Arabidopsis thaliana: one gene and its partners. The protein of the gene in region 1 purifies or fractionates together with the protein of each later gene. This does not show direct contact. Each region holds a gene or a part of one and is shown in the gene's direction. Other genes may lie near its edges.

The links.
Region 2: the proteins of AT5G15400 (region 1) and Fes1C fractionate together in Arabidopsis thaliana (co-fractionation; one large-scale study listed by BioGRID). This does not show direct contact.
Region 3: the proteins of AT5G15400 (region 1) and Fes1A fractionate together in Arabidopsis thaliana (co-fractionation; one large-scale study listed by BioGRID). This does not show direct contact.

Annotation. Positions count from the first base shown.
Region 1 is NC_003076.8:4,994,563-5,006,826, reverse strand, and holds AT5G15400 (U-box domain-containing protein), read left to right. Parts: upstream 1-3,573; 5' UTR 3,574-3,919; coding exon 3,920-4,779; intron 4,780-5,250; coding exon 5,251-5,455; intron 5,456-5,596; coding exon 5,597-5,748; intron 5,749-5,835; coding exon 5,836-6,109; intron 6,110-6,382; coding exon 6,383-6,535; intron 6,536-6,634; coding exon 6,635-6,838; intron 6,839-6,919; coding exon 6,920-7,032; intron 7,033-7,142; coding exon 7,143-7,260; intron 7,261-7,415; coding exon 7,416-7,505; intron 7,506-7,585; coding exon 7,586-7,789; intron 7,790-7,868; coding exon 7,869-7,964; intron 7,965-8,047; coding exon 8,048-8,170; intron 8,171-8,252; coding exon 8,253-8,345; intron 8,346-8,429; coding exon 8,430-8,594; intron 8,595-8,699; coding exon 8,700-8,789; intron 8,790-8,886; coding exon 8,887-9,063; 3' UTR 9,064-9,338; downstream 9,339-12,264. Other genes in the region: DND1 (Cyclic nucleotide-regulated ion channel family protein), read left to right, coding at 64-92, 471-1,140, 1,309-1,524, 1,711-2,030, 2,128-2,239, 2,332-2,568, 2,655-2,741, 2,858-3,367; AT5G15390 (tRNA/rRNA methyltransferase (SpoU) family protein), read right to left, coding at 9,572-9,706, 9,794-9,932, 10,006-10,067, 10,161-10,299, 10,814-11,252, 11,356-11,494; DRM1 (domains rearranged methylase 1), read right to left, coding at 12,001-12,264. UniProt on the Arabidopsis thaliana protein: Ubiquitin-protein ligase that may function as an E3 ligase in conjunction with specific E1 and E2 ligases. May also function as an E4 ligase mediating the assembly of polyubiquitin chain assembly on substrates monoubiquitinated by another E3 ubiquitin ligase.
Region 2 is NC_003076.8:422,393-431,185, reverse strand, and holds Fes1C (Fes1C), read left to right. Parts: upstream 1-4,807; 5' UTR 4,808-4,973; intron 4,974-5,069; exon of another isoform or gene 5,070-5,091; 5' UTR 5,092-5,117; coding exon 5,118-5,203; intron 5,204-5,396; exon of another isoform or gene 5,397-5,400; coding exon 5,401-5,543; intron 5,544-5,627; coding exon 5,628-5,678; intron 5,679-5,771; coding exon 5,772-5,993; intron 5,994-6,105; coding exon 6,106-6,208; intron 6,209-6,335; coding exon 6,336-6,705; downstream 6,706-8,793. Other genes in the region: AT5G02180 (Transmembrane amino acid transporter family protein), read right to left, coding at 1-152; AT5G02170 (Transmembrane amino acid transporter family protein), read right to left, coding at 714-809, 905-967, 1,062-1,105, 1,214-1,385, 1,479-1,614, 1,708-1,927, 2,010-2,190, 2,269-2,292 and 3 more; AT5G02160 (uncharacterized protein), read right to left, coding at 4,162-4,303, 4,547-4,794; AT5G02140 (Pathogenesis-related thaumatin superfamily protein), read right to left, coding at 6,749-6,905, 6,981-7,653, 7,748-7,802.
Region 3 is NC_003074.8:2,866,462-2,875,546, forward strand, and holds Fes1A (Fes1A), read left to right. Parts: upstream 1-4,508; 5' UTR 4,509-4,754; coding exon 4,755-4,840; intron 4,841-4,926; exon of another isoform or gene 4,927-5,226; coding exon 5,227-5,369; intron 5,370-5,458; coding exon 5,459-5,509; intron 5,510-5,624; coding exon 5,625-5,846; intron 5,847-5,967; coding exon 5,968-6,070; intron 6,071-6,161; coding exon 6,162-6,648; 3' UTR 6,649-6,871; downstream 6,872-9,085. Other genes in the region: AT3G09330 (Transmembrane amino acid transporter family protein), read right to left, coding at 1-116, 257-531, 618-769; AT3G09340 (Transmembrane amino acid transporter family protein), read right to left, coding at 1,589-1,696, 1,818-1,880, 1,973-2,016, 2,112-2,280, 2,372-2,507, 2,595-2,814, 2,900-3,104, 3,192-3,406 and 2 more; AT3G09360 (Cyclin/Brf1-like TBP-binding protein), read left to right, coding at 7,335-7,396, 7,525-7,606, 8,087-8,162, 8,459-8,547, 8,630-8,706, 8,830-8,886, 9,007-9,085.

The DNA of each region.
Region 1 (12,264 bases):
TCCCAATCACTCCCTGCAAATTTTCTTCTCTCCCTCTCCCATGGTGGTTCCTCTATTTCAATCATGCCCTCTCACCCCAACTTCATCTTCAGGTTTTTATACCACACAATTCCCATTTTTTTTCATATCTATATTCGTTCATTAATGGTGCTTTCACGCTAAAACACTCCCGAATTCTGAATATGTATTTTGTGTCTTTTGCTGTTTACCCAGAGGTTACAAGCTTTACCTGAGATTGATTATTTTTCCCCGAGAAACACTTTTCCCGGAAAATTCACTCGTTTTTTGAACTGTTCTATAGCTAACAAGTCACCATGCAATTCCTTATAATCTCGCTTGAGTATGCGAAATCGTTCATCTAGCAACGAAATCGATTTTCATAATTGTGTACTATATAACGAATGTGAGATGATTCTGAATGATTTTTGGCGATAGATTGCTAATTCCTGATTACAATTTGAATATTTCAGGTGGATTGGACTGTTTTCCGATAAGTTCCGTCGACAAACGACTGGGATCGATGAAAACAGTAACCTCCAAATCAACGGTGGAGATTCGAGCAGCAGCGGCAGCGATGAGACGCCGGTGCTAAGCTCCGTCGAGTGTTACGCTTGCACACAAGTAGGCGTCCCAGCTTTCCATTCAACTAGCTGCGATCAAGCTCACGCGCCGGAGTGGCGTGCCTCCGCCGGCTCTTCTCTAGTTCCGATCCAGGAAGGATCTGTCCCTAACCCAGCCCGAACCAGATTCCGACGTCTCAAAGGTCCGTTTGGTGAAGTTCTCGATCCTAGGAGCAAGCGCGTGCAGAGATGGAACCGCGCGTTGCTTTTAGCTCGTGGGATGGCTTTAGCGGTGGATCCGCTCTTCTTCTACGCGCTTTCCATCGGCCGAACTACCGGACCGGCGTGTCTTTACATGGATGGTGCGTTCGCCGCGGTGGTCACGGTGCTCCGCACGTGTCTCGATGCTGTTCATCTTTGGCACGTGTGGCTTCAATTCAGACTGGCCTACGTCTCGAGAGAGTCGCTTGTCGTTGGTTGTGGGAAGCTCGTTTGGGATCCACGCGCCATCGCGTCTCACTACGCACGCTCTCTCACTGGCTTCTGGTTTGATGTTATCGTCATCCTCCCTGTCCCTCAGGTGAATTTTCAGAACAACCTTCCAACTATTCCAATATTATGAAATTAACCCTAAACTTTTTATTACTATCAATAAAGCCCATATTTACATTTGAAAGTGTTACCTGTTGATGAATCATGATTTGAGATGCAGATAAGATGTGAACTTTGTGTTTTTGCTTGTTTGCAGGCAGTGTTTTGGTTAGTTGTGCCGAAACTGATAAGAGAAGAGAAGGTTAAGCTGATAATGACGATTCTGCTGCTAATATTCTTGTTCCAGTTCCTCCCCAAGATTTATCACTGCATCTGTTTGATGAGAAGGATGCAGAAGGTCACTGGTTACATTTTTGGAACTATTTGGTGGGGTTTTGCTCTTAATCTCATCGCATATTTCATCGCTTCTCATGTAAGTCCTCTCAAGCTAGATATTGTATTTCTGCCTGAATATAATGTCCTGCAACAATAGGTTATATTCAGGTCCTAAAACAAATGCAATATAACAAATCCCATGTGTATATATATAGTACTACTAAGGTCTGTCCTAAGATATGAAATTAAAGTTTGTTGTTTATGGAAATTCTGGTGGTTTCAGGTTGCTGGGGGATGTTGGTATGTTCTCGCAATACAGCGTGTTGCTTCTTGCATAAGACAACAATGTATGAGAACCGGGAACTGCAATCTGAGTCTGGCTTGCAAAGAAGAGGTCTGTTACCAATTTGTGTCACCGACAAGCACAGTTGGATATCCATGCTTATCTGGAAACCTTACCAGTGTGGTCAATAAGCCTATGTGCTTAGACTCTAACGGACCATTCCGATATGGTATCTACCGTTGGGCACTTCCAGTCATCTCCAGCAACTCTCTTGCGGTTAAGATCCTTTACCCCATCTTCTGGGGCCTAATGACTCTCAGGTAATTGCTTTGTTTCTGAGCTTAAGGTTTACATCTTGGATATAAAAAAATTCTCTGATTGACATACTGAATCTGTTTTGGGGGTCGCGTTTTACAGCACATTTGCGAATGATCTTGAGCCCACAAGCAACTGGCTCGAGGTTATTTTCAGTATAGTTATGGTTCTAAGTGGCTTGTTACTTTTCACGCTGTTGATAGGAAACATTCAGGTAAACTATGCAAGAATATGTCTTTTCTATGATATTGTGTTTTCATGGAATGTAAGATTTTAAAAAGCTTTTTACTTTACAATATTTTGAAGGTGTTTTTGCATGCGGTAATGGCGAAAAAAAGGAAAATGCAGATACGGTGTAGGGATATGGAATGGTGGATGAAACGTAGGCAGTTACCTTCCCGGTTAAGACAGAGGGTTAGGCGATTTGAGCGGCAGAGATGGAATGCCTTGGGTGGTGAAGACGAGCTAGAACTTATACATGATTTGCCTCCGGGTCTTCGAAGAGATATCAAACGATATCTTTGCTTTGATCTCATTAACAAGGTACTAGGAAGCAGACTTTATACAATCTTGTTAAGACTTGTGAAAGCAGTAAGTGTTAAGTCTCTGACATGTTTGATCTTTCTCAGGTGCCATTGTTCAGGGGCATGGACGACTTGATCCTCGACAACATTTGCGATCGGGCTAAGCCTCGAGTCTTCTCTAAAGACGAAAAGGTACTCATCCCATCATTTCTAAAAATTTATATTTCCAATATTTTGCTTCGGTTTCGGTTTAAGAGTTTACTTGAAGAGTAAAATCTGAGGTTCTTCGATTTTGTTGATTGTCACAGATCATCCGTGAAGGAGATCCTGTACAGAGAATGATATTCATCATGCGTGGACGAGTCAAACGTATACAGAGCCTAAGCAAAGGCGTCCTAGCCACTAGTACACTAGAACCAGGCGGTTACTTGGGCGACGAGCTACTCTCATGGTGCCTACGTCGCCCGTTTCTGGACCGTCTTCCCCCTTCCTCAGCAACATTTGTCTGCCTAGAAAACATCGAGGCATTCTCCCTCGGATCCGAAGATCTTAGGTACATTACCGATCATTTCCGTTATAAATTCGCGAACGAGCGGCTTAAGCGGACCGCAAGATACTATTCCTCAAACTGGAGGACGTGGGCAGCGGTAAATATTCAGATGGCGTGGCGCCGGCGTAGGAAAAGAACCCGTGGTGAAAACATCGGCGGTTCGATGAGTCCTGTGTCGGAGAATAGCATTGAAGGTAACAGTGAACGCCGGTTACTTCAGTATGCAGCTATGTTCATGTCCATTCGACCGCATGATCATCTCGAATAATAATAAAAAGTTCCAATTTTATATCGGTCCAAATAATTGTGTGTTCATTGTTCCTCCTCAATTGTTTACCTTTACTTCTTTAAAAAATCTTTCTTGGAATGATACTTCAACCTCTTACGGTTAAGTTCAAAGTAGATTTTTTGAGCAACAAAATCTTGGAGGAGTTTATCTTGGTAATTTTTTATTTTTTATTTTTTATTAGCAGTAAAAGTAATTGTCTTAATAAGTATAAACGACGTCGTTAGTAAGTACGACGTTTGCATATATCCTATATAGACTTTTTGTCCAAGCTCAGGACTTGCTAAAGCTCGTTCAGAGACTCCAAAAGAGTTCATAAACAAAAACCTACTCCCAGAAAGTTCTTCCAAATCTCTCGCCATGGTTTCTCTCTTCTTTCGTGAATTTTAGTTTTTCTAAATTTAATTATACTTTAAATTGCTAAGTCCAAACTCTTTCGCTTTTGATTCATCGGTAATACAAGTTTAAGAAAAAAAATTCTTATATTTATCTCTCAAATCGAGTTTCGAGTGTTTGATTTGATTCGTAAAATCAATGGCGACGAGCAAACCTCAAAGATCGCCGGCTGAAATTGAGGATATAATCCTCCGGAAGATATTTTATGTAACCCTAACGGAATCAACTGATTCCGATCCTCGTATTGTTTACTTGGAGATGACGGCCGCTGAGATTCTCAGCGAAGGTAAAGAGCTTTTGCTTTCTCGTGATTTGATGGAGAGAGTTCTCATAGATCGTCTCTCCGGCGACTTTTCCGACGCCGAACCGCCTTTCCCGTATTTAATCGGTTGCCACCGTCGTGCTTACGACGAATCGAAGAAAATCCAGTCGATGAAGGATAAGAATCTGAGATCGGAGATGGAGATTGTCACTAAACAAGCGAAGAAGCTTGCTGTTTCTTACTGTAGGATTCACTTGGGGAATCCTGACATGTTTGGGAACTCGGATAAACCTAGTGGTGGATTGGATAATAGGTTGAAGAAGAGGAATGTCTCTCCGGTTCTTCCGTTGATCTTTGCTGAGGTTGGTTCTGGTTCGTTGGATATGTTTGGAGCTAGTAGCAGTGGGGTTCAAGCTCCTCCTGGGTTTTTGGATGAGTTTTTCAAAGACTCGGATTTTGATAGCTTGGACTCGATTCTAAAGGAGCTGTATGAGGATTTGAGGTCTACGGTTATAAATGTATCAGTGCTTGGAGATTTCCAGCCACCACTGAGGGCACTCAAGTATCTTGTTAGCTTACCAGTAGGAGCTAAATCTCTGGTTAGTCATGAGTGGTGGGTTCCACGGGGTGCCTATATGAACGGCCGAGCAATGGAGTTGACTAGCATTCTTGGGCCTTTCTTCCATATTAGTGCGCTGCCAGATAATACACTATTCAAGAGTCAACCTGATGTTGGGTGAGTTCCAACTTATTTATGGGTTTCTATTACTGAGAATCATGTAGTCTTTGGGGCTCTTTTCTTATTGAGAAAGTTTGGATAGTAAGAATTATTGATTAGCTTTTACTCATAGTAGAGAGACTTGATCAAAAAAGGAAAAAAGCAGATATATTTGGCTTATATATGATGCCACTGTTAGGTTGTATACATATTTTAAGCATGATTATATAAATTTAGCATAGTTAGATGATCAGTAGAGGCGAAACCAACAGAAATATTAGTAAGCACTATGTTAAGTTAGAATATTGTGGATGAAATCCATTATTTTGAGCATTTTTTCTGGTCTGTACTGAAGAATCTTGATTGTCCATTTAGTATTTGACAAGGCTTAATTGTGCGAACATAAGAGTTTTCCTGATCCACCTCAGAGGATATACTTTACCTGTTATGAAAATGCTGATATATGTCTATTGTTTTTGTGAATATCAGGCAGCAGTGTTTCTCTGAAGCATCGGAACGTCGTCCCGCAGATTTATTATCATCCTTCTCCACGATTAAAAATTTCATGAACATTTTGTACAGCGGGCTGCATGATGTATTGATGATTTTACTTAAAAGTACTGATACCCGTGAGCGTGTTCTACAGTTTCTTGCAGAGGTGATCAATGCAAATGCGTCTAGAGCCCATATACAGGTAATCATCCGTTTATAAGATGCATATATACTTCGGATCTTTATTCATGAATTGCTATTGTCTCCTCTCGGTTTTATCAAGTTGGTATTTGTCTTTTTTGCTCAAATCAGCATTCTGTAATATGTTTATCTTGTATGACAGGTTGATCCAGTCTCTTGTGCTAGCTCAGGCATGTTTGTTAACCTTAGTGCAGTAATGCTCCGGCTCTGTGAACCATTTTTAGACCCACATTTAACGAAAAGGGATAAGATTGATCCAAAATACGCATTCTGTGGCCATCGCTTAAAATTAAGGTATGGTCCTCAAGATGATTCTACTTGTATTTCCTCACTGATTTTAATAGTTTCATGATGAGCAATATTATTTATGATCCACACCAGCGACTTGACCGCTCTCCATGCATCATCCGAAGAAGTTACTGAGTGGATTGGCAAAGATGCTATGGCAAACGCAAATGATGCTGGGCGAGAAAATGGGAACGAAAGTCGCTTGTTACAATCCAAAGAAGCCACAAGTTCTAGTAGTAATGCTTCTGGGCAAAATGCAAAGTCAGCAACTAAATACACTTTCATTTGTGAATGCTTCTTTATGACTGCTAGGGTCCTCAATTTGGGTCTCCTAAAAGCACTCTCTGACTTTAAACATCTTGCTCAGGTAATCATCATCACAGTTTTCCCGTCCTGGAAATATTGAAGATTTTTTGGAAAAAAAAACGACTTGTGATAAATTATCTTGCAGAAAGCTCTTATTTGATTTGGTTCCTTACATATTGTCTTATTAAGGCGTTTGTTAGTTAAAACGAGAAGGGACTATAGCAAAAACTTGAACTTAGTCACATGTTTACATTGTGAAAGTGTCATTGATTCCTGAATTTGCAGAAGATTGTTATTGTATGGTTCTTCACTTTTTCTTTTCCGCATGACGTAGGACATCTCGAGAGGTGAAGATAATCTTGCAACGCTAAAAGCCATGAGAGATCAAGCACCTTCTCCACAGTTGGAACTTGATATATCCCGAATGGAAAAAGAACTAGAGCTGTCTTCGCAGGAAAAGCTTTGCCATGAGGCCCAAATATTGAGGGTTTGTAATCATATTCTCTGCTCTGATAACATCTTCGGCTTTTCCTCTGGACCGGTAACATGATAGTAATAGCTGCCTTATCTCTATACTGTATTGAAGGATGGAGATTTTATTCAGCGAGCTCTGTCTTTCTATCGCCTAATGGTTGTTTGGTTAGTTGGACTAGTCGGTGGCTTTAAGATGCCTCTACCGTCAACTTGCCCTATGGAATTCTCCTGTATGCCTGAGCATTTTGTTGAAGATGCAATGGAGTTGCTGATATTCGCTTCAAGAATTCCCAAAGCTTTGGACGGGGTGCCGCTGGTATGCTTAGTTTGCTCTCATCAGTCTGTAGAAATTCTCTTTTTGTATTTGCACTGATGATGGTTGTTCTCTTTTCTTAAGGACGACTTTATGAACTTCATAATTATGTTCATGGCAAGTCCTGAATATGTTAGAAACCCGTATCTCAGAGCAAAGATGGTTGAAGTTCTGAACTGCTGGATGCCTCGTTCAAGGTGTTTTTCTTCCCATGAAAGAAAGCTGTACATTTGTCAATTTGTGTTGCTAATGCAACAAGTTCTGCAGTAACGTGGTCCACCATTCTAATTTTTTTTTTTTCCTGCAGTAGTTCTTCTTCTGCTACATCTACTCTCTTTGAGGGACATCAGTTATCGCTCGAGTATCTTGTCAGGAATTTACTGAAACTATATGTTGACATTGAGTTCACGGGTTCACACACTCAGGTGATTGCAAGAGATTTTGTTTAGTGGCTATAATATTCCTGGAGTAATGAACTTCTCTCTATTGCATTGTACTTGAGAATATGTTAGCTCTGGAAGCCAGAATAGCCATTTGTTCTTGCTTTTATTGGAACTGAAATCTAGTTATCCAAATGCAGTTCTATGACAAGTTCAATATTCGCCACAACATTGCCGAGCTTTTAGAGTATCTCTGGCAGGTGCCTAGTCACCGAAATGCATGGAGACGGGTAAATTCTTAGTGAGCTTGCCATGACTTTGAACTTCAACTATCATGTTCCAATGTTTTTCCAAATTTGATGTGTTACAGATTGCAAAAGACGAAGAGAAGGGCGTGTACTTGAACTTCTTAAACTTCTTAGTCAATGATAGCATCTATCTTCTGGATGAAAGTCTAAACAAAATTCTCGAGATTAAACAAATCGAGGCAGACATGTCAAATACTGCAGAGTGGGAGCAGAGACCAACTCAAGAGAGACAGGAGAGAACAAGACTCTTCCATTCGCAGGAGAATGTTAGTTGGATTATCACTTCTTATATCTTGTTTCGTACTCGAATCCCGATCCCATAAAGAACTTTGATTTTCTTTGCAGATTGTTAGAATCGACATGAAGCTGGCAAATGAAGATGTGACTATGCTTGCATTTACATCCGAGGAGATCACTGCCCCTTTCCTACTCCCTGAGATGGTACCTGACCATATTCCTGAAATGATAACCTGCCCTATGATTACCCAACTGATGAGTTTCTTTGTTTGTTTGCACTTATTTAGGTTGAGAGGGTTGCCAACATGCTTAACTACTTCTTGCTACAACTCGTGGGTCCACAGCGTAAATCTTTAAGCCTGAAAGATCCTGAGAAATATGAATTCCGTCCAAAACAGTTACTTAAACAGGTTAGTAGTGATTACAATTACTCAATTCTCCTGATCAAAGTATGTGAGAAAAAACTGACTGATATGATTGTGAACTTTGAAGATCGTTCGCATATATGTTAATCTCGCAAGAGGAGACACAGTAAACATATTCCCTGGTGCCATCTCCAGTGATGGCCGATCATATAATGAACAGGTCAGATCCTTCTTTCTAAACCAAATCCTCTTTCATAATAATAGATGCGTCTCTACTGAACTAAACAAGTGCCCGTTTTTGCAGCTATTCAATGCAGGAGCAGATGTGCTTAGGAGAATAGGTGAAGAGGGAAGAATCATTCAAGAGTTTATGGAGTTAGGCACAAAAGCCAAAGCTGCTGCTTCTGAAGCTCTGGATGCTGAAGCTGCACTTGGGGAAATACCAGACGAGTTCCTTGACCCAATTCAGGTCTTTATCTGTTGAAAGAAACACTAATTTAAACCTAAATCTTGTCTTATTACCATGCACTAATGTCTGTTCTTGTTTTTTTCTTTTCCTTTTCTTTTTTGGCAGTACACGCTAATGAGAGATCCAGTAATACTTCCAAGCTCAAGAATCACAGTTGATCGTCCCATCATTCAACGTCATCTTCTCAGCGACAATGTAAGCTTATCTAACACAATGATGATCACTGATCAGTCACATCTCTCTTTCTCTGAAGATTTTGGCTTTGTATATGATCCTCTTACTTTTGCTGCAGCATGATCCATTTAACCGAGCACATTTGACATCGGATATGTTGATACCGGACATCGAGTTGAAGGCGAAAATCGATGAGTTTGTGAAGTCGCATCAGTCTAAGAAACGGACAAGTGGAGAAGATAGCAGCAACAAGGAAAGGATACAGACTACAAACAGTGATATGTTAATTGATTAATTATGTGTTCCAAAAGTAACAAAATAATAACAATTATTCAGGACTTTTTTTTTTTACTTTTGCTAGGCTTTCTTTTCTATTAGGATTTATCTATCTATTTTAGGGCTTGCTTTCCACTTATTTGATGCCACGGGAAAAAAACTTATAAATATCATGTCTAGAACTGTTTCTATCATAAGTTCGATGTGTTCACGAGTTTCTATGCATTTCGACGTTTGTTCATGGATTACTAGTTGGCATAAGAGTTATGAGTGACCAATTCTTGAAAGGCGAAATTTCTAACTTAATCTTTGATGGCGTGAGGTCGATGCAGAAGAATGGTGAAATCAACACCACTCACTCGATTGAAAAGGCAATACGTTCGACAGAAGGATGTCTTTTATAGAATTTAAGAGTTGTACATGAAGCAAGCGTCGTACCAAAAAAAGAGTTCGAAAGAGTTTTTATAGGCGTCATTCGAAGCCTATAACACGCAAAACAGCGAGAGAATAAGACAACGGTTTCAAAATTAGGAGGAGGTAGAGTGTTGTTGTTTACGTTTAGCGAACTCGTAAGCAATGCAAATTGAGCTTCTACTGTGACGAAGTGAGAACTCAGCCATCAATATCTCTTTCTCTGCTTCCGACAGATCTCCATGGCTTCCCTGTTTCAAACCCATAAAATGTAATTAAAGCATAAACTGAACTGGAAACTAACGTAAATGATTGTCTAGCTGTGTCAATAGGTTTACCAGACGAGTGGTTCTATCAGAGACTGCGTGGTGCATCAGAATCCCTGCAGCCACTGAGACATTAAACGAATCAACCATTCCATTCATCGGAATACTGCAACGCAGATCTGATAACTCCAACGCTTCGTCACTTATTCCCCTGCATATTCCCCAATCAATCCATTAAGAAATTATGAACCCTCAAATTTGGACTAAGAGATGATATTCATTACCTGCCCTCGTTTCCAACAACTATTGCTGTTGGGCATGACCAGTCCATATCGTAAATGGAAACCTATAAGATATTACCACCAAGAGAATGTCATTCATTTTGCCTCATAAATAATGGTGATGACAAATATATACAAACAAATCTTTAGAGGTTTACCGTGTCCATTCCCAAATGAGTTGTAGCTATTCTGTAACCGCGAGACTTCAAAACTTTGAAACATTCTTTAGGTGTGTCCCAAAACTCAATGTCCAGCCATTTCTCAGCTCCCATACTCACATGGCGATTTCCGTTATACCTACACATATATAATATACATTAACACACACATAGCACGGTAAATGAATTCACACAATGCAATCAAACCTTTTTTACATTTCAGTCAACAACTAATGGATCAATCTTTTCAGATATTACCTATGACTCTTGTATCACTGCATAGTTCAAAAAACCGTAACAATTCTCCATTCTATCTCGTATGAACTAAGAAAAAGGAAAGCCAACTTATGATCAATCTTGGACTCAGAAGGAAAATGTAATAGTAGTGACTCACAATCAGCGTAGATTCAATGTTTTACGGAAATTTAAGAGTCCTCACTTATCCCCATCCTGTGATCCAAGAAACATAACTACCAACTCATGATCTATCTTGGTAGCTTATGATGCAATCAAAAGTTCTACAGACTTCAATCACCAGCTTATGATCTCAGGTCACCGCACATTGTCTAAATTCAAAATGCAAGAATCCCTAGTTTCACCTCAAATCCTATGAATCAACAAAGAAACAGAAAATGCCAACCTCAAAGGGGCACCTTTTGGAGCTGTCACAGGAAACAACATGTACAGATTGAATCCCCAACGCATCAGCTGAGCGGAAAGCAGCAGAGATGTTTCCAAAATCAGAGAGACCTTCAACCACAAGACACACCGAGTAGCTTCGATTCTCCACCACACGCCTGAACCTATCTGTCCTCTCTTCCATCATATGAGGACTCACCGCCTCCAACACCTCACGGCTACTAAGATGCACCTCACCACACCTGAACCTATCCTCGTAAGGAAACCAAGATCCTCTACAATCACCCTCACCATTGCTTAAGCTACACCTCCGCTCCATCTTCATCAAGCTTGAGGCCTCACCACGATTGGTTGTTAACAATCCTTTCACAGTATCCTTGGGAGACTCTTCCGTTAAGCTCTCCGGTGAAAGAGCCACAGCTCCATGAAATGTGCGTCGAGCTGTTACAATACCTGTTAGGCGCGAAATCTCATCAACATCAAAATCAAACGAATCCAGATAACGAAATTCAAAATAAAAGCTTGAAACTTCAGACGAAAGAGTGAGAGAGAGTACATGATGAATTTGGATGAAGGACAGAGAGAGGAGAAAAGGCGCGAACGGAGATGAAGGTGATAGAGAAATTAGGGTTTGGAAGAGGAACAAATGGAAAGGAAGAGATTGAGGCACGGATAAGGGATTTGCACGAGTTCATGTGTTGCTGCTGCTGCTAGCTACTGTTTTGTTTATTGCACAGTCTCGGAGCTTGAGATTAAGGATTCGCTGGATTCACCTTCAAGAAATCGAAAATGGATACTCCACAGAGCAGAGACACAGTCCAAGGCTCTGGTTTCGATTTCCCGACCACAGACAGAGCTTGTCTCTTGTCGTCGTCTCGAACCCAAGAACAAAAAGTCGAAATAATTTCGGTTTAGTATGGTTCGATCTAAATTACAAAACAAAAAATGATGTGATGGTTTCGGTTTAATATGGTTCGATTTGGTTTAATAGTTTGCTTCTACTGGAGAGAAACTTATCGAAAATATTCTTGCAGAGGAAGAAACTTAGTTACACGACTTGCCAAACTAAAATCTGAAAATATTCTTGCAAGGATTAGTATATCTAGCTAGCAGAAAGGAACAACAAGAATCTGCAAAATACAAGTTCGATTCATGTGAAAAAGTGCCTTACAAAACAGAACAACTTGGGTCTTCAAATCCTTCATCTCCTCATATGTCGTGCTTTGCGACGAACAGCCTCGAGAATCCTACAATAGTCGAAGAAGAGTGACGAGTGCTCTCCTCCAAGACCGACCCGATGATGGCGATTGCCTCCGGCAAGATTGTTACACGGACTTCCTCCTATGACTAAGTCGAATCCTCCGTACTCGTCCATAAGCCGCTCAATCGTATTGTCGTCTAGCTTTTGAACATCTTTAAACTCTCTCAGGATACCCTTTTGATTCGTCTGCTCCCAAAAGCTTCT
Region 2 (8,793 bases), 4.6 Mb from region 1:
GGAGAGGAGGAATCTGAATTTTCTCCGCCTCTCCGACCGTCGTCGTCTCCGTCGTGTTCATCGTCGGAACAAGCAAGTGCTGCTTGATTTTCCTCGTCATCTGTCAGAAACGAATGGTCTCTGTCGTGTAAGAATTCTTCGTCGAGTTTCATCTTCTTCCTCTGTTTTCTCAAATCTCAAAGAAAGGTAGAAGAAATGTGCAGAGAGAGAGAGGGAGAGATAGACGGAGAACAACGGGGTTTTGTTTTCCGGCGAGTCAAAGAGATTTCTTCTATATACGGAAACATATCAATGGAGAGAAAACTATTTAATGTTTCTTTAATATTTGTTTCCTTTTATTTTAATTGCGGTGTAGATTTGATGCTGACGATATTTTTAGGATTCTACGAATTTGCAATTTTTTTGATTATTGTTCTTTTCGTCTTCTCTGTTGACTAACTTCCAAAACTGTGTAAATCCATCAATGCAAGTGTTACTCCAGTCCCATTTTCCAAAATATTCTGTTATTTATTTATTTTTAAATGAGCAAATGAAAAAAAAAAATGAAGACTACATTGAGTAAAATGGACTTAAAACTATGAATAAAATACCAAAAAAAAAAATCAAATTGGATTATCTTCACACAAAAAACCATTGGTTTATCAAAAACCGGTTTTATTCAAGTATATACCGGTTTATTCCTTCGAATATACGTACTTATTCTGCAAAACCAATCAGGTCATTTCGCCGATTAATCTGGCGATAGCAGAATAAGTCCCGCAACAACCGCTTACAATGCCGATTATCACGATTAAAATACAAATTCCAATCTGAAAAATAAAAACTCTTTTCAGTCTCAATTTTCTACGAAGTATTGACAGTAAAAATATATAATCAAAATCGAAGTTTTCAATTATATTCTTACCTGAAAGTTAGTTAATCTACCCTTCATAATGCTGATATAACAGAGACACGGGAATATTAACGCCTGAAAAAGACCAAAACCGAAATCGTCAAGAACTTGTTTTGATCCTTAATTTTTCCGGCAATTATTGAGATTGATTTGTTCTTGGAGAACTTACGATAAGCATTGCGATGAAAGATCCAATCAGAGCCGCCACAGTAGCTGCAATTAACGTTGTTACATTAACGAGTTCGGTCATTGTTTTATACAAAGGGGTTTCTTGTGCAAGAAGTTAGGGTAACTAGAAATTGATAGAGAGAGATAGTTTACCGAAGAATGGAACTGTGAGTGCAACGACCAAAGTGGAGAGAACTAATATGGTTCTAAAGAGCATAGAGACACCTTTGGATCTCATCTTTCTTGATGAAGACGGTATGAGTTCTTCTAGGCTTAGCATTACTGGAGTGATCGTTAAAGCGTATTTCGTCATTGGTGTTACGACCTAATCATACAAATGAGATAGGAATTGAGAGAAAATTATTATGAACAGAATGTGAAGAAGGTCTGAGATTCTTGATTTGGAAGGTTATCTAACCGCTGTCCAGACTGCGATTTTAGATGAGGTGAAATGTGGTGGCATGTTCAGTGTAAATTGGGATTGAATCGCATCACCAAACATCGTGAATCCACAAACCGCTACCGCAATGTAAAATAGAGTGCAAAACGCAAAACTACATAACGCAACAAACAATTATTTTATGAAATGAGAAGTGATGAAAATTAGACCTAGAGGTTTCTTGCGCTATAAGCAAAAGTTGTTTTACCTGATGAGAAGCACCGTAGGAAACTTGGAAGGTTCTTTCATGGATGAGTAAATGTTGGGGAAAACAGAGTGACTCCCGAAACCGAACCCGTAAATTCCGATTGCGACAGGTATGTTAGTTATATCAAGAGCTTGTCCGCTTATGTGAAATCCAACCCCGTCTACTGATCCAGCCCAAAAGAGGCAAAGCGCAAGCAAGATTGAGGAGATGACACCTCCGGCTAAGGAAACAAAACATTTCTTAAATTTAATTAAAGAGTTCAAATCTCAGAGATTGTTGTGTGTGCCAATTACGAGATGAACCTGAGAGATAGGACAATAAGCTGAGGTCTTTGAGCCAGACAGTAGGAAGAACAATAAGAGTCGTGGTAATGGCGAAAACTTGAGTAGAATCTAAAGAAAATCCGTTGATGTATAAGGAGGTATTTGGGAACATTCTTGACAAATTATCACTCATCATGATTATGTATTCCACACAAGATGCCTACAGAAAAAAATTCAAAGTTAGGACCTCAATTTCTTCAATCATGATATGAAACATGAAAGAGAGTTTGGTACTTACGTATAACTCTACGTAGAGAAGTATCTGAAATGTAATTCCAAACCCAAGTTAAGTTAGGATCACAATTCACACACAAACAAAGTTAAGATTGATTATTTGAAAAATAATCTTACAGAGACGAGGATGCGTCCAGTGGTTCCGAATGCAGCTTGACCGATGTCCGGGTAAGTGTGGATTCCAGGGGAGTTCTCGAGACATCTCTTGAGGAGAATGCCGGTGTAGAAAGTGATAATGCCAAAGGAGAAGAGTATGAAAAGCCCTAACCATCCTCCTTCTTTAACTGCGTAAGGCATTGTAAGTAAAGCTACTCCACATAGAACGTTAATTCCTGCAAAAAGAGAATGTTAAGAATCTCAATCTAAATAGAAAAGATAATCGTAAACTCAGTACTCTCGCACTAATGCTATACTAAACGTAAACTCAGTTCATCAATATATATCAGATTTGGTTTCAGTTTGATTATTTGACTAATCTTGGAAAACAGAGAAAACCTAACCAAAACTCAGATTGAACATTCCTAATGCAATTATTACCGTTGAGAACGGATTGAGAGAATGTGCAACTGCGGTTTTCTTGGGGAGTTAAAAGATCCCCTGGGACTGATAGCTGGAGATGAGAAGCAAGAAATGATTTGATGGAGGACACAACAGAGCTTTGGATCTCGTCTTTGTCTATGAGAAGTTGCTGTTTGCTTGGTGAAGAAGTAAACGAACCGAAAACAGAGCTTTGTCGTCTCTGGCGAAATGAAGAGACAAAACTTGTACTAGTCGGAGGTGTAACTCCAGTCAACAAATCCATAGATTGTCTGAAAATATCCCCAAGAACACCAAAATTATTCTCTAAAGAATAATTTCTTCAGATCTCTTACAAAAACAGAGCACTTAAAAAGAAAATGATTTACCGATAACTTCGAGGCCACGGAACGGGAACGTCTTCGGATCTGTTACGAGATAAAGGAGTTGAGGGAACGGAGCTCTCTGTTTGGCTTTCTTCATCTTCCTCATCGAACGTGTGATACAAATCTTCCCTTTCTTGATCGAATGTCTCGTTTTGCTTCATCTACTTTGTTTGTATTCTTCTACTGTGCTCTGTTTCAAAAACCAACAAAAGGTCTAAAAAGAAGAAGAAGAAGATTGAGAAGAAGCAACTAGGGGACGCAACGAAACGTGTTCTGTTTTCAAGTTCTAAATTATTGTCACGTTTCTTTATATTCTTTAATTAGCAGTCTCCTTACCTATGATGATGTCTCCCTGAATTTGTTTTTCCCCATAATTTAAATGTATTAATGAACAAATTCACGATTTTCCCATTATTCCACCAATAAGATAAATTTAATAATGTCCCATTATCCTATCACTACTAAATCTAAGAAACTTCAAGAACAATTCAAAGAATCTTCTACTCTGACGCGTAAGGTTCATTTACAAAAAATTTAGTTTTTATACAATAATACTATTTGCTTGAAAAAATATAAAAACGTTTCTGGCGAGGTTATTTATAAAACACAGAAATAGACACGTAATGAAGATTAGTTGATATGCATGTGATGTAAGAAGCCAATGACAGTTGGGTCATTAATTGGCCATTAAATGTTCATCTCTAATTACTTATGCAGCAGTTAAATTTATTTTTTGTTCGTTTTATTTTGGTAGCTGAGCACCTTCGTCTATAACTGCTTAAAAACTTACAATAATACTCAGACAATTTCTTACAGAACAAGAAAGCAAAGAAACTTACACATAAAAAAGCAATTGTATATATATATATATATATATATATCCACCCATCTCCAAGCAACCATTGATCATTCCAAGCTATCTACTTTTGCAGAGGTATATTGTAGAGAAGAAGAGGAATGAGAAATGGAGCTTTTTACATATATATGAAGAAGACTTATGATTTATCAATCTGGTTAAGCTTTCCGAGTCCATTGCAGTTAGCACAAACGATCTGAGGAAGATCCTTCCGTGCGGCGTTGGCTCTCAGAGTCACTCCTCCTTTCCTCACAAATCCTGCTCCGTCACATTCCGGACACCTAAACCACACACATTTCAGAGCTTAAACTCACAATGTACAATCTCTGATTCAGTTTACTACATCGGCTAAGAGTTTATGTACGTTTTCAAAATCCATAACAGAGGATTTAGTCCGGTTAAGATAATTCGAATGTTGAACCGGACAATAAACTATGATAATCTGCAATTGATCAGTCAAAATTTGGTTTAACGAGCATTAAAACCGGTTTAAGTCACAAGGTAAAAAGATGAGAGTGGTTTACGTGTCTTTGCGTTTGAAGAGGATCGGGAATGCAGTTCCGACGAGTGCAACGGCGATGGCTCCGCCGATTAAGTAGATTGTTCCGTCAGAAGAGACATCACCGACGGCGGCGACAACTACGGAGGAAGAAGATCTCTTGTTTTTGGGAAGAATCACATTGTTCGGTGATGGTGATCCCCACGAAGAAGAATGTTTCAGGAAGTTGGTTGATGACACGAACGTCGTCTGCAATGCCGGTGCGATCGTCATAATTTAGGGTTTTAAGTGACTGATTTCGATTTGGGGGAAGTAATAAGAAGAAGTGATTTGATTTTTATGGAAAGGTTTTGAATTTGGATTTGCTTCGTGACGTGTCACTCTCTCGAAGTGGATAACGTTTTCACTTGGGATTTTTGGGGTTCTTCAGTTTTCTTTTGTGTGTGGATAAGGTAGGCCCCTTCAAGATATTTCGAGTTAACAATTGGGCCTGTTAAGCCCATTATTAAGTTAGCGTGAACATAAGGCCCAAACTATTTGTCATTGTCTCTGACTCTCTGACCTTCGCAGAGTCTTTCTCTTCTTCCGTTGCTTCAATGGCGAAAGACGGACCTAACTGGGACGGTCTGCTTAAGTGGAGTCTCTCTCACTCCGATGGTACTCGACCTACTTGCCAATTAAGGTACGAAGTTTCTTTGTAATTTCAGGTTTTGTTGGTCACTTAGTGGAGCTTATGTTGTTTGTTGGGTTGTTTTAGAAATTTGCGTGGTTCTGCGTCAGTTTCTTATGAGGAATGAATCATGTAGTGGAATTTGACTATTTGATTTGGTATTGTTTGGTAGATGGTTTTTGATGATATGAAATTGTTTGGTTAGACAGTGAGGAGGATCGAAAATGGTTTGCAGAAGCTATGCAATCACAAACGGTAGATGTAGTCAAGCGGTTGAAGGAGATTACACAGGTATTGCAGACACCTCAACAAGTTTTGGAGGCTCATGAAGTGACCCCTCAAGATATTGAAGGTTCAATATGGAGTTCACTATTGTTTTCTTAGCTATTTTCTCTCTTGTTGGTTACTAAGATTTTGAGTTATGATGATTTGGTAGGTTTGTTGGATGAGTTGCAGGAACATGTTGAATCGATTGATATGGCTAATGGTGAGTCTTTTCATACTTTGACCTTGTAACTTTGTTCTATATCTGTCTTTTGATTGCTGGGCTTAACTTGTACTTCTTTGAATGTATGGGCAGATCTTCATTCCGTTGGAGGCTTGGTACCTCTTCTTGGCTACCTCAAAAACTCCAATGCTAATATCCGGGCTAAGTCTGCAGATGTTGTAAGCACAATAGTTGAGAACAATCCTCGGAGTCAAGAATCAGTTATGGAAGCCAATGGTTTAGAGTCCTTGCTTTTAAGGTTTACTTCAGACACCGATATGCATTCTCGAACACAGGCTCTCGGTGCAATATCATGTAAGCTGCTCTGAGTTCTATCCTATATACTTAGATGGTCGAATGCCTTTTTCAAAAACAAAAATGTCTATCGTAAATCTGATGAATGTATTGTGGTAAATTTGGGGTACAGCTTTGATTCGCAATAATAAACCTGGGATCACAGGTTTCCGGATTGCAAATGGTTACTCTGGTTTAAAAGATGCTTTGGAAACTGATAGTGTGAGATTTCAAAGGTAATAATACTCTTCACTTTTCTTCATGCTTGGATTCCTCTGAACTTTGAGAGAACACAAAGTTGTAACCTTTGTTCTGCTGTTGTCTAACTTTCAAAACTTTTGTCATTACTTTCTCATTCTTCAGGAAAGCTTTAAACTTGTTGCATTATCTTCTACAAGAGAATGACTCAGACTCCGATATTGCTATAGAATTCGGGCTTCACCATTTGATGATGCACCTCGTGTCTAGCTTCGATGCTGATGTAAGAGAAGCTGCTCTTCGAGGATTGCTTGAGCTCGTGAAAGCTAGAAAAGACTGTAGTACTTGTGGTTCTAGCATAGTGAAAGGCGATGAGAGACTCAGACAGATTCTAAAAGATCGGATCAAAGCAATCAGCCGGGTCAAAGCAATGAGCTTGTTTATGTCACAAGAAGATCTATCAGCCGCTAAAGAGGAGAGGCAGCTCTTAGATTCACTATGGACCACAATCTTCAACGAACCTTCTTCTCTTTAGAGACAAAGATACAAAGAGACAAAACCGTCTGTGCTTCCTTATATCATGAGTAAGCACTAAAACCGTCTTTTATGTCTTTGGACCCACCAGCTAAAGCTTGTGTCTTTAGAACACTAGTTAAAAGGATGGTAACCACTGTATAATGACCAAATTTTGATTCTATTTTGAGTTCAAATTTTCTCAGTTTCTCATTCAATGACCTAAAAACAGACCGTACAAGTACCAAATCAAGCTACTGCATGATAAACATAACATAAAAATCAGAAGCCTCTCACTTTGGAGGACAGAAAGTGATAACATAACGAGAAGCTCTACACTTATTCAAACTACTAGAATCATCAAACGCATAACTATAAGCTTTAGGACAAATCGCTTTAAACAGATTCGCGAACAGAGTCGGCTTACACGCCTGAGGATTCGCATATTCACCGGTGCAACAATACTTAGCCGATTGCATCGCCAAGCAAGCACTTTTACAACCAACCACTTTCCCATCTCTCTTAACTTCCAAAGCTGATGGACAACAAATGTTCAAATTCACTTCACAAGCCGCAACGCCACATCCAACTCCACCGCCGATTGGTTTCATCGACACCGGAAGATTGAAACCGTCGACGAGACTTACGTCGTAGAAATGAAGCGGAGAGGAAGATGAGCCTAATGTCATTTCTACTACGGTTGCTGGTGGTACACCGCCGGTTCCTTGGCAGTTGATAGAGCCGTCGTTGCAGTCTCCGGTTTGGCATGAGCCTTTACCGTTTTGGTTAAAGGTGCAGCCTTGTCTACCCCAGATTCGACCGGACCATTTATCCGGTACGTCTATGATGGTTTCTTCGCCGCTTCCCATGTGGAATCCGCCGTTTCTTGGTGTGATTTGGCCTCCGCCGCCGAGAATTCCCGGCCAAATGCTCTCCTGGCAGTTATTCACTATTATAAGCTGAGCTCCATCTGCAAAAGAACAAAGTCACTATTATTGAGAGGAATCAAAACGAGAAACAAAACCCATTTCATAAATTATCGAGAAGGAGAAGAGATATCGTACCAGTGAAGGCTGAGATAGTGAGAAAGAGAAGGAATAGAGTTGCAGATTTCGTCATTGTTGTTGATGTTGTTGTTGTTGTGTGGGGATATATCACTTCTAAAGTTTGCTTTTGTGTGTGTTGTGGTTGTTTTCAAGAGAATATTAATAAAGAATATGTTGAGGACGTCGTGGTCGAAGGAAGAAGTGGAAACTTGGGTTGCAAGACTAATATTGGTGTGGTGAAGTGGATTGTTGTATAGGGAACTGCCAAGTGCTAACGTTTTATAAACTGAGACTTTCATGGGATTAGTGGGAAAGAGAAAGATATGGAGGCTTGATCGTGAGCCTTCTTCTATGAAGAATGGGTTAAAGTTGGATTTAAAGAAAAAGAGAAAGATTCATATGTCTCTCAAACGTTTATTATTGGATAAAGATTAACACTCATAGATTTCTTCATCATTGCATTTCTTTAAGGCAAATTTGTTTATACTTTACAATCCATAACTAATTTTCAGACCTAGCTAAAATCTCATTGTCTAACATTTTAATTATTCTTAGAAATTGATTTGATATTTTTGAATATAGTTTTATAATTTTTGTAATAATGTCGTAATGTTACCACCTGAATTCACTGTTTTGAGTCTATATGAAAATTGTAATAAGGAAAATGTTAGAGTGCTTCACTAGAGTTTTGAACTTTTGATTTTATATGTCAGTTTGTTTTTCTTTCAAAAATTATGTTATATGTTATCTATGCGTATATAAACTTCATCACTTGCTAGTAGCCTAGCATGTCCCAACATTTCTTACCTTTGCTATGACCTTTTTCACTTTGTACATCAAATCAGCAGAGAGCATATATGCATTACTTCAATGAGAGGATTTGCTTTGTTTTTAAACAAAGGCTATATTTACACAAAACAAATCATTCTCTTTTTAATGTTCTTATAATATTTTGTTGGTTTTTGAAAGGTAATAATAGAGATCGAAGCCAAGAATGTCACTAGAGTCTATAGACTTGCTTTTAATAACAGGTGGGGAGGTTGAAGGTTTTGGTGGGTAGGTAT
Region 3 (9,085 bases), on another chromosome or scaffold:
ACCGGTGTAGCAAGTGATGATAGCAAAGGATAAGAGTATACAAAGCCCGAGCCATCCTCCTTCTTTCACCGCGTAAGGCATTGTGAGTAGACTTATTCCACAAAGGACATTGATTCCTTCACCAAAAATAGGTTCAACTTAAAGAGAGATTGAAACTTTTCTTTTTGTTATGACGATAAAATCTCTGTTCAACCGAACCGAATGCCCAAACCCTAAAGACTTTTGAGACAAAATCAATACCGATACTATGTCTTACCATTTAGAACAGATTGAGGAAACGAGCAGAAATTTGGTTCTCCATACGAGAGATCGGTGTTGGATAACCCGATCTGAGATGAAAGGAATAATACATCGTCTTTCTCAGAGAGCAGCGGTTGTTTGCTTGTGGAAGACGCAAACGAATTTGCAATAGAGGTTGGACGTCTCTTGTATAAGGAAGCGACAGAACTGGTGAATGATGTCTGAGAACTTCTCCGGTGAATGAAACTGATTGTAGGAGGTGTAACTCCGGTCAAGATATCCACAGATTGTCTATATTTTCCAGAAAAAGGAAGAATCTTCACAAACGTTATAAATTAATTCGTTAGATATCGAAAAAACAGAGGAATTTCTTTTACCGATAACTCCGAGGCCATGGAGCTGAATCGTTCTGAGATAATGAAGAATATGAACTAGAATCATCGTCTTCGTCATCGCAGGAGACATCAACTTGGCATTCCTCGTCATCTGTCGGAAACAATATGTCTCTTTCTTGCTCCTCAAGTTCCATCGTCGTTGTCTCTGTTTCAAAACAGAGTCGAATCAGAGCAACAAAGGAGCGAAATGAATACTATAAGAAAAAAAAAAGAGATCGAGCTCTGAGTTCGATTTGCTATCACGTCGAGTTTGTATTAATCCAATTGATACATGATCATAAACAAATTAATATTCTGGTTATTCTGGTCGTGATATGTAGTGTGGAAGTATTAGTGGCGGATCTACATTGCCACTAGGGTAGGCACGTGCCCCATACTAATTAGAAATTTTAAGCCATAGGATAATGAGACTATGAAGTCATTGTTCTATATTTGATCCATTGGTAATGATTATTCTCCAAAACATTGAGATGGTGGAGTTTCACTTCCTTATTTGTTCTATAAAATTATTGTTATAATATGTAATTTTATCTTTATAGCCACCTTTCAGTTCAAGTTTTGGGTTAAAACATGTTGTAAGATTCAATTTTCTTCTTAGACAGTTATTTTTCCTCTTCATTTTTCACCTCGCTATATTTCATATAAATGTATATGTGCCATATACTAGAAAAGTTTCTGGATCCGCCCCTCACATGTTCAAAAGTCAAAGGTATATGCGTGGAATTGGAAATTTGGAATGGATTTGATTTGTCAAAAATAAATTAAAAAAAAGTAGGTCGACGAAGGTTAAGATCTTTTTGTGAAAATAGAAGATTACAAGTTAAAACAAAGCTTCATTACGGTATTAAAATTACTGCTTCACGTTTCACAAATCTTGATCACTCTGTTAAATTTCATATAAAAAGACAATCTCTTATTGTTTCACAATTTAACATATGTTGTTTCATTGTTCTTCATTGTACCATCCAATTCAATTCTCCTACTAATCTTCCAATGGCGGAGTACGTCCCGCAGCAACCGCTTACAATGCCAGAGATTATGATGAAAACGCATATTCCAATCTGCCAAAAGATCAAATAGATAAAGTTTAAATTAAATTATTATGTAAAAAATATATTGACTCTAAACAATAACCATTTTACTTTATGACAGAAAAAAAGAATATATATATATATATCTTACTTGAGTCTTACTCAATCTACCCTTCAAGATACTGAGATAACAAAGACAAGGAAAGATAAAATCCTGCACGGTAAACAAAATATGAATCCTTTTTAACATACGTGATATGCCTATATAATCGATGATAGCTGTAATTATGTTAAACGGTGACTTACGACAAGCGTTGCGAGGAATGATCCCATCAAAGCCCCCATGATCGCTGCAAAGTTATAATTAGAACAAACGACGATAAATTAAGATGCTTTTTGTTGTTGTTGTATAGTTTCATGCAAAAAGAAGGTAAGAGTATTTTACCGAAGAATGGGAATGTAAGTGCGACAACCAAAGTAGAGAGAACTAAAATCGTTTTAATAAAGATAGATACTCCATACGATCTCATCTTCTCTGATGGCGGCATAAGTTCTTCTAAACCTAGCACAATCGGTGTGAGAGCTAACGCGTATTTGGTCATTGGTACTACCACCTTAAGTAAGAGAAAAAGAACCAATCACATTTTAGTAATTATATATATGTCGAGACAAACATGTTTACCGAGTTTTAAAGTTATATCTCACCGCTGTCCAAACTGCGATTTTAGATGCTGTGTACTGTTGTGGCATGTTTAGTGTAAACTGCGATTGAATGGCCTCACCAAACATACTGTAGCCGCAAATCGCCACGGCAATGTAAAAGAATACGCAGAAACCAAAACTGCAAAAAGAAACAGAGAAATGAAAATTTTGACCTAATATTATCTGAAGTCCATTATAAGTAACCTTAATCAAAGAGATTTTTCACCTAATGAGAAGCACCAAAGGAAACTTGGATGGTTCTTTCATGGAAGAGTAAATGCTGGGTAAAACTGCGTGACCACTGAACCCAAACCCGAATATCCCAATAGCGACGGGTAAGTTAGCGAGATCAAGAGCTTTTCCACCCGTGTGAAACCCGACTCCATCAACCGACCCAACCCAGAAGAGACAAAGAGCAAGCAAGATCGAAACAAAGACTCCTCCGGCTAAAAGAATGGAACACACATATTAAAGAATATATGAACGAATCTCGAAGCTATATTGGAAGGATCTTATGATAGAAAATGGAACCTGAGAGATAGGAGAGTAAGCTAAGGTCTTTGAGCCAAACTGTAGGAAGAACAATAAGAGTAGCTGATATAGCAAAGATCTGAGGAGAATCTAGAGATACTCCAACGATGTTTAATGTAATGTTGGGGAAAACTCTCGATAAATTATCGCTCATCATGATTATATACTCCACACAACATACGTATAACTCCATGTACAGAAGTATCTGCAACTCTCAAAAGAGATCAAGAACCCTATATATTAGTTTGGAGATATGTGAAGTATATATGTAAATCATTTCCATATAACTCACGGAGATGATGAGGCGGCCTGTAAATCCAAAGGCAGCTTGACCAATGTCCGGGTAGGTACGGAGATCAGAAGAGCTCTCAAGACATCGTTTGAGGAGGATACCGGTGTAGCAAGTGATGATAGCAAAGGATAAGAGTATACAAAGCCCGAGCCATCCTCCTTCTTTCACCGCGTAAGGCATTGTGAGTAGACTTATTCCACAAAGGACATTGATTCCTTCACCAAAAATAGGTTCAACTTAAAGAGAGATTGAAACTTTTCTTTTTGTTATGACGATAAAATCTATTCAACCGAACCGAATGCCTAAACCCTAAAGACTTTTGAGACAGAATCAATATCGATACTACTACGTCTTACCATTTAGAACAGATTGGGGAAACGAGCAGAAATTTGGTTCTCCATACGAGAGATCGGTGTTGGATAACCCGACCTGAGATGAAAGGAATGATACATCGTCTTTCTCAGAGAGCAGCGGTTGTTTGCTTGTGGAAGACACAAACGAATTTGCAATAGAGGTTGGACGTCTCTTGTATAAGGAAGCGATGGAGCTACTGAATGATGTCTCAGTACTTCTCCCTTGTATGAAACTGACCATAGGAGGTGTAACTCCGGTCAAGAGATCCACAGAGTGTCTGAATTTTACATGAAAAAAAGAAGGAAGAATCTTCACAAACACTTCAAATAATTTCGTTAGATATCGAAAAACAAAGTATTTTATTTTACCTATAACTCTGAGGCCAGAAAGCGGAATCATTCTGGGATAATGAAAAAGATGCATTGGAATCATCGTCGTCATTAACATATGAGACATCGACATGGCAGTCATCGTCATCTGTCTGAATCAATATGTCCCTTTCTTGCTCCTCAAGATCCATCTTCGTCGTCTCTGCTTCAAAACAGAGTTAAATCAGAGCAAGTAACAGATTCCAGGACAGAACAAACGAAACAGGAAAAAAAGGAGGGAACAGAGAAGTGAAATGAATATTGGAAGAAATATAAAGAGACGACGAAGAGACTCGGTATTGAGTTCGATGTGTTGTCACGTCTGACGTCTGTCAACTTTGTATTAGTCTTAGGAAAAAAACACTTTGTATTAGTCCATTGATACTACTTGATCATATGTAACGAATTAAATTCTGGTCGACTGGTCGTTAAATTTAGAGTGGAAGGTAACGTTCACATGTTTAAAAGGTCCAAAGTCAAAAGGTACATGCGTGGCATAGATTTGCCAATAAATTAAAGAAAAAAAGGTAAATTCAAGAAAGGCTTATCGAGCTAATTTAAGCCCAATAATACTGAACTATTTGGGCTTGAGTCTTAAAGGCCCAATTTGTGGAGGAGGCGTCATCGTCTTCGCTTTTCCTTTTCCCTTGAGAGGTCGTCGACGAGGTTTAAGATTTTTAAGAATGTTGTAGTAGCTTCGCGAATAATCTCAGGTCTTCTATAAAACCAAACTAGCGATTAGCCGACTCTTCCTCTTTATTATTACAAAGACGAAAAGGCTTCGAGTTTTGTAATTTCTTCTTCTGTTACAAGTTCTTTTCACTGTGAAAGTAATTCTTCAATGGCGAAAGACGGACCTAATTGGGATGGTTTGCTTAAGTGGAGTCTCTCTCACGCCGACGGTACTCGACCCACTCGCCAGTTGAGGTACGGACATTCATCTTGTAGTTGGTTTTTTAGGTTCTGTCTTTTGATTTGTCTGAAACTGATGGGATGCTTGGTGGGTAGTTTAGGTATCTGTGTGGCTATGATTGAGCTTTCACTTGAGGAGATGAATCTTATGAGTGAATTCGAATCTGGGTTTGTTTAAAGTAGTTTTCTTTTTTGAAGATATCTGTTCAGTTCATCGGTTTGGTTAAGATTCAATTATCGAATTCTGCTGTTATGTAGGTGAAAGGTTATCTATTTTCTCGTTTTTACATGAAACTCTGTTAATTTTTTTTAAGGGAATTCACGATTTGTTCATGTCAAATCATTCTGTATGTGTTTTATTGTGGATTGTTTTGTTGATTTGAGTTGTTTTAATGAGACAGTGAGGAGGATCGAAAATGGTTTATGGAGGCTATGCAATCGCAGACTGTAGATGTAGTCAAACGCATGAAGGAGATTACACTAGTTATGCAAACACCTGAACAAGTTTTGGTGGAACATGGAGTAACACCTGAAGATATCCAAGGTGCGTAATTTGTGGCTATAATACATAGCTTAGATCTTTATCTTTTGCCATTGTGTGTAGGGTACTAATTGAGTTTATTATTCTGGTAGATTTGCTGGATGAGCTGCAAGAGCACGTTGAATCGATCGATATGGCTAACGGTACATTATCTCTAACTTGGACTTTGCTTTTTTTTTTTTTTTTTTTTTCTTTCCTGTTCTGGTTAGCTCAATTTGAACATTGCTTGTAACAACTTGTTTACTTACTATTGTGTAGATCTTCATTCAATTGGAGGCTTGGTTCCTCTTCTTAGTTTCCTTAAAAACTCTCATGCTAATATTCGGGCAAAAGCTGCGGATGTCGTTAGCACAATAGTTCAGAACAATCCTAGAAGTCAGGAACTTGTTATGGAAACCAATGCTCTGGAGTCATTGCTCTCGAATTTCACTTCAGACACTGATATTCACGCTCGAACCCAGGCTCTTGGCGCAATATCATGTAAGCCTGCTTCTGATAGTTCATTTTTAGTAAAGATTGAGATGATCAAAAGCTTTTGTGATTTCTATTTTACTTGGTTTGTGATACTAAAAGAGACTTATCTTTTCAATATGGGATGTAGCTTTGATTCGCCATAACAAACCAGGAGTAACGGCTTTCAAGCTTGCCAATGGTTATGCTGGCCTAAGAGACGCCTTGGCATCTGATAGTGTGAGATTTCAAAGGTAACCCACACAAATATTCTTATCATCTGCGGATATAAAATCGTGGAAGATTCTTGAATTGTTGCTCATTTTCTTTATTCAAATTCTCCAGGAAAGCCTTAAACTTGTTGCAATATCTACTGCAAGAGGATGATTCAGACCGCAGTATTGCCACTGGACTTGGATTCCCCCGAGTGATGATGCATCTTGCCTCTAGTGACGATGCTGAGATCAGAGAAGCCGCTCTTCGTGGATTACTTGAGCTTTCAAGAGAGAAAAACGATGGAAGTAGCAGCATAGATAAAAGCGATGAGAAACTGAGGCAGCTACTAGAAGAACGGATCAAAGGAATCACCTTGATGTCACAAGAGGATCTTGAAACGGTTAAAGAAGAGAGACAGCTCGTGGATTTACTGTGGAGCATTTGCTACAATGAACCTTCTTCTCTGAGAGAAAAAGGACTTGTCGTTCTTCCCGGTGAAGACGCATTGCCTCCTGATGTCGCTAGCAAGCTCTTTGAGCCTCCTCTTAGAGCTTCTGCAGCAAACCGTAATGCTACTGAGAAGAAAGATGAACCTATGAAACTACTTGGACCATAGACGAGAAATCAAAGCTAAAACTTTTTATTACTTTTCCTTGTTTTTTATGTTTTGTAACTTTTCAAATTGTCAGAAAAGTTTCATAGATATATGTATTATGTCAATGATCAAGGGCTATGTTATGTTAATTTTTGTTTTCATCATTCGAGATCTTTAGTCTTGTTATTGTTGAGATTAAGAATATTCAGCTTCAATGCTTTTTCAATTCAACAAGTGTTCTATACGATTTCGGTTTAGCAACAGCTAATACGGACCCGATCTAATTGATCGGTTAAAATTGGTAACTTTGAATTGCGGTGAACCGAAGAACAAAACCAAAGCGAACGTCACAATTACTTTGCAATCCCTAAAGGGACAGAGTTCGAATCAAGGCAGTCTCACATATCGGAGAAATCTCTCGTCACGTCTCTCAGCTTCGCCTTCAACACCGTCGTCGCCGTCACGGCCAACTCCGGTATTGTTATATAGATACAATTACAGTGAACTAGATAATCTCATCAAACCCTGATTCTTTCCACTTCCTCGCACGATTGTGTGAAAACAGTTACTTTCGCTATAAATAGTCTGATCTTCTTTCTATTGAGCAGTAAGATTGGAAGCTGTTGTTTCGAATCGATTCAAGCCTCGAATCTGAGTTTCGGATCGATATTAGAAGCTAAGGTAGGAGCTTTTTGAGTGAAGGAGTTATGGTATGGTGTAACCATTGCGTGAAGAATGTTCCCGGAATACGCCCTTATGATGGTGCATTGTAAGTGTTTTTGATTATTCACTGATGTTTTGTTATCTTATGGTTTGCTCTTTAGGAGCTCAGTTTCTGTTGGATTTGTGGTTTCCAAGCTTCGAATTATGAAATATCATCGTTTTTGATTTTTACAGGGCATGTAATTTATGTGGGAGGATATTGGAGAATTTCCATTTTTCTACCGAAGTTACATTCGTTAAGAATGCTGCTGGACAGGTATACGCAGCTGAGCTTTAGCTTCAGTTACCTCTTTTGAAGCTCTTCTGTTTTAGTGCTACATATGTTTCTTCGGATGTTCTCGATGTGTCTAGTGGTTTGCGGATGTGATTAATAGGATGTAGGATTAGAGAGATGTGAGAATATGAGTTGGAGAATCTTGGAACTGTTATCACATCTCTGCTTAAATGTTCTGTGGGGTTTGTATGCGAAGATGAACTTTTTCCTTCAGACTGAAACTTTGCAAAGACCATATTATATGAAAGGTCAAAACTACCGAAGTATAAGAAAATGCACTAAGCAACCAGCTTTATTTAGCCACAACCAGTAGAAATATCATCGATAGACTTGACAATGGATTTGTTTCCAAGACTGTTGTCTCTTTAGTGATGATATCCACAGAGTTACTTGAGATTTATACAGCCTTTGGTTTCTTTGAACAATTTGGTTCAAGCTTACAAATTATTTCTGTTTCTGCAGAGCCAAGCATCAGGTAACATAGTGAGGAGTGTTCAAAGTGGGATTACAAGCTCACGTGAAAGGAGATTTAGAATAGGTATGCCCCTTTTTGTATATGTATATGTATCTGTGTTCGCTGTTGGCCCAAATTCTGCAACTGATACATCTATTCTACAGCTTTCGCTTATGTTTGACAGAGCTATTCCCTTCCCTTTTTATTGTATTTCGAACTTTTCAGTTCAGTAATTGCGTATGTGTACTCATTAACCCATCCTTAAATTTACTTCCAAATTCAGGCCATGTGACTGTTTCAAAAACCATTGCATTGTTAGACTCTTTACATTAATGCAATTTTGATTCTTATGATCTGACAGACCTTCGTCTTTTTGGCAGCTAGAGATGAGCTTATGAATTTGAAAGATGCATTGGGGATTGGTGATGAGAGAGATGATGTGATTGTCATCGCAGCTAAATTCTTTGAAGTATGGTTGGTTTACTTAATCTCTGAATATTAATTTGTAAAGTACTTTTACCCCTTCTTTTAACTCCATTAATCTTCTGCAGATGGCAGTTGAGCAGAATTTCACGAAAGGCCGCAGAACTGAACTAGTACAGGCTTCCTGCCTCTACTTGACGTGCAGGTTAGATTCCTAGTAATCGTCTTATTGCTCTCCTATGTTTTTTCCTCTTTAGAATACCTTGCTGAATTATGTAGTTGATGTTTTATTCGCTGTATGTTAACCATAAAATTTCATGATCTGTAGGGAATTGAACATTGCGTTGCTTCTTATTGATTTCTCAAGCTACCTTCGAGTTAGCGTGTAAGATGATTCTTTTTCATTTCCCTACTGTTCTCTTTCTTTTGCAACCTAATTACATGTTAAGTCTATTGCAATGACAATTCAGGCTTTGCTGTTTTGGTTTTATCAAATATTGTGCAGTTATGAGTTAGGTTCTGTATACTTACAACTCTGTGAAATGCTGTACCTTGTGGAAAATCGGAATTATGAAAAGCTTGTT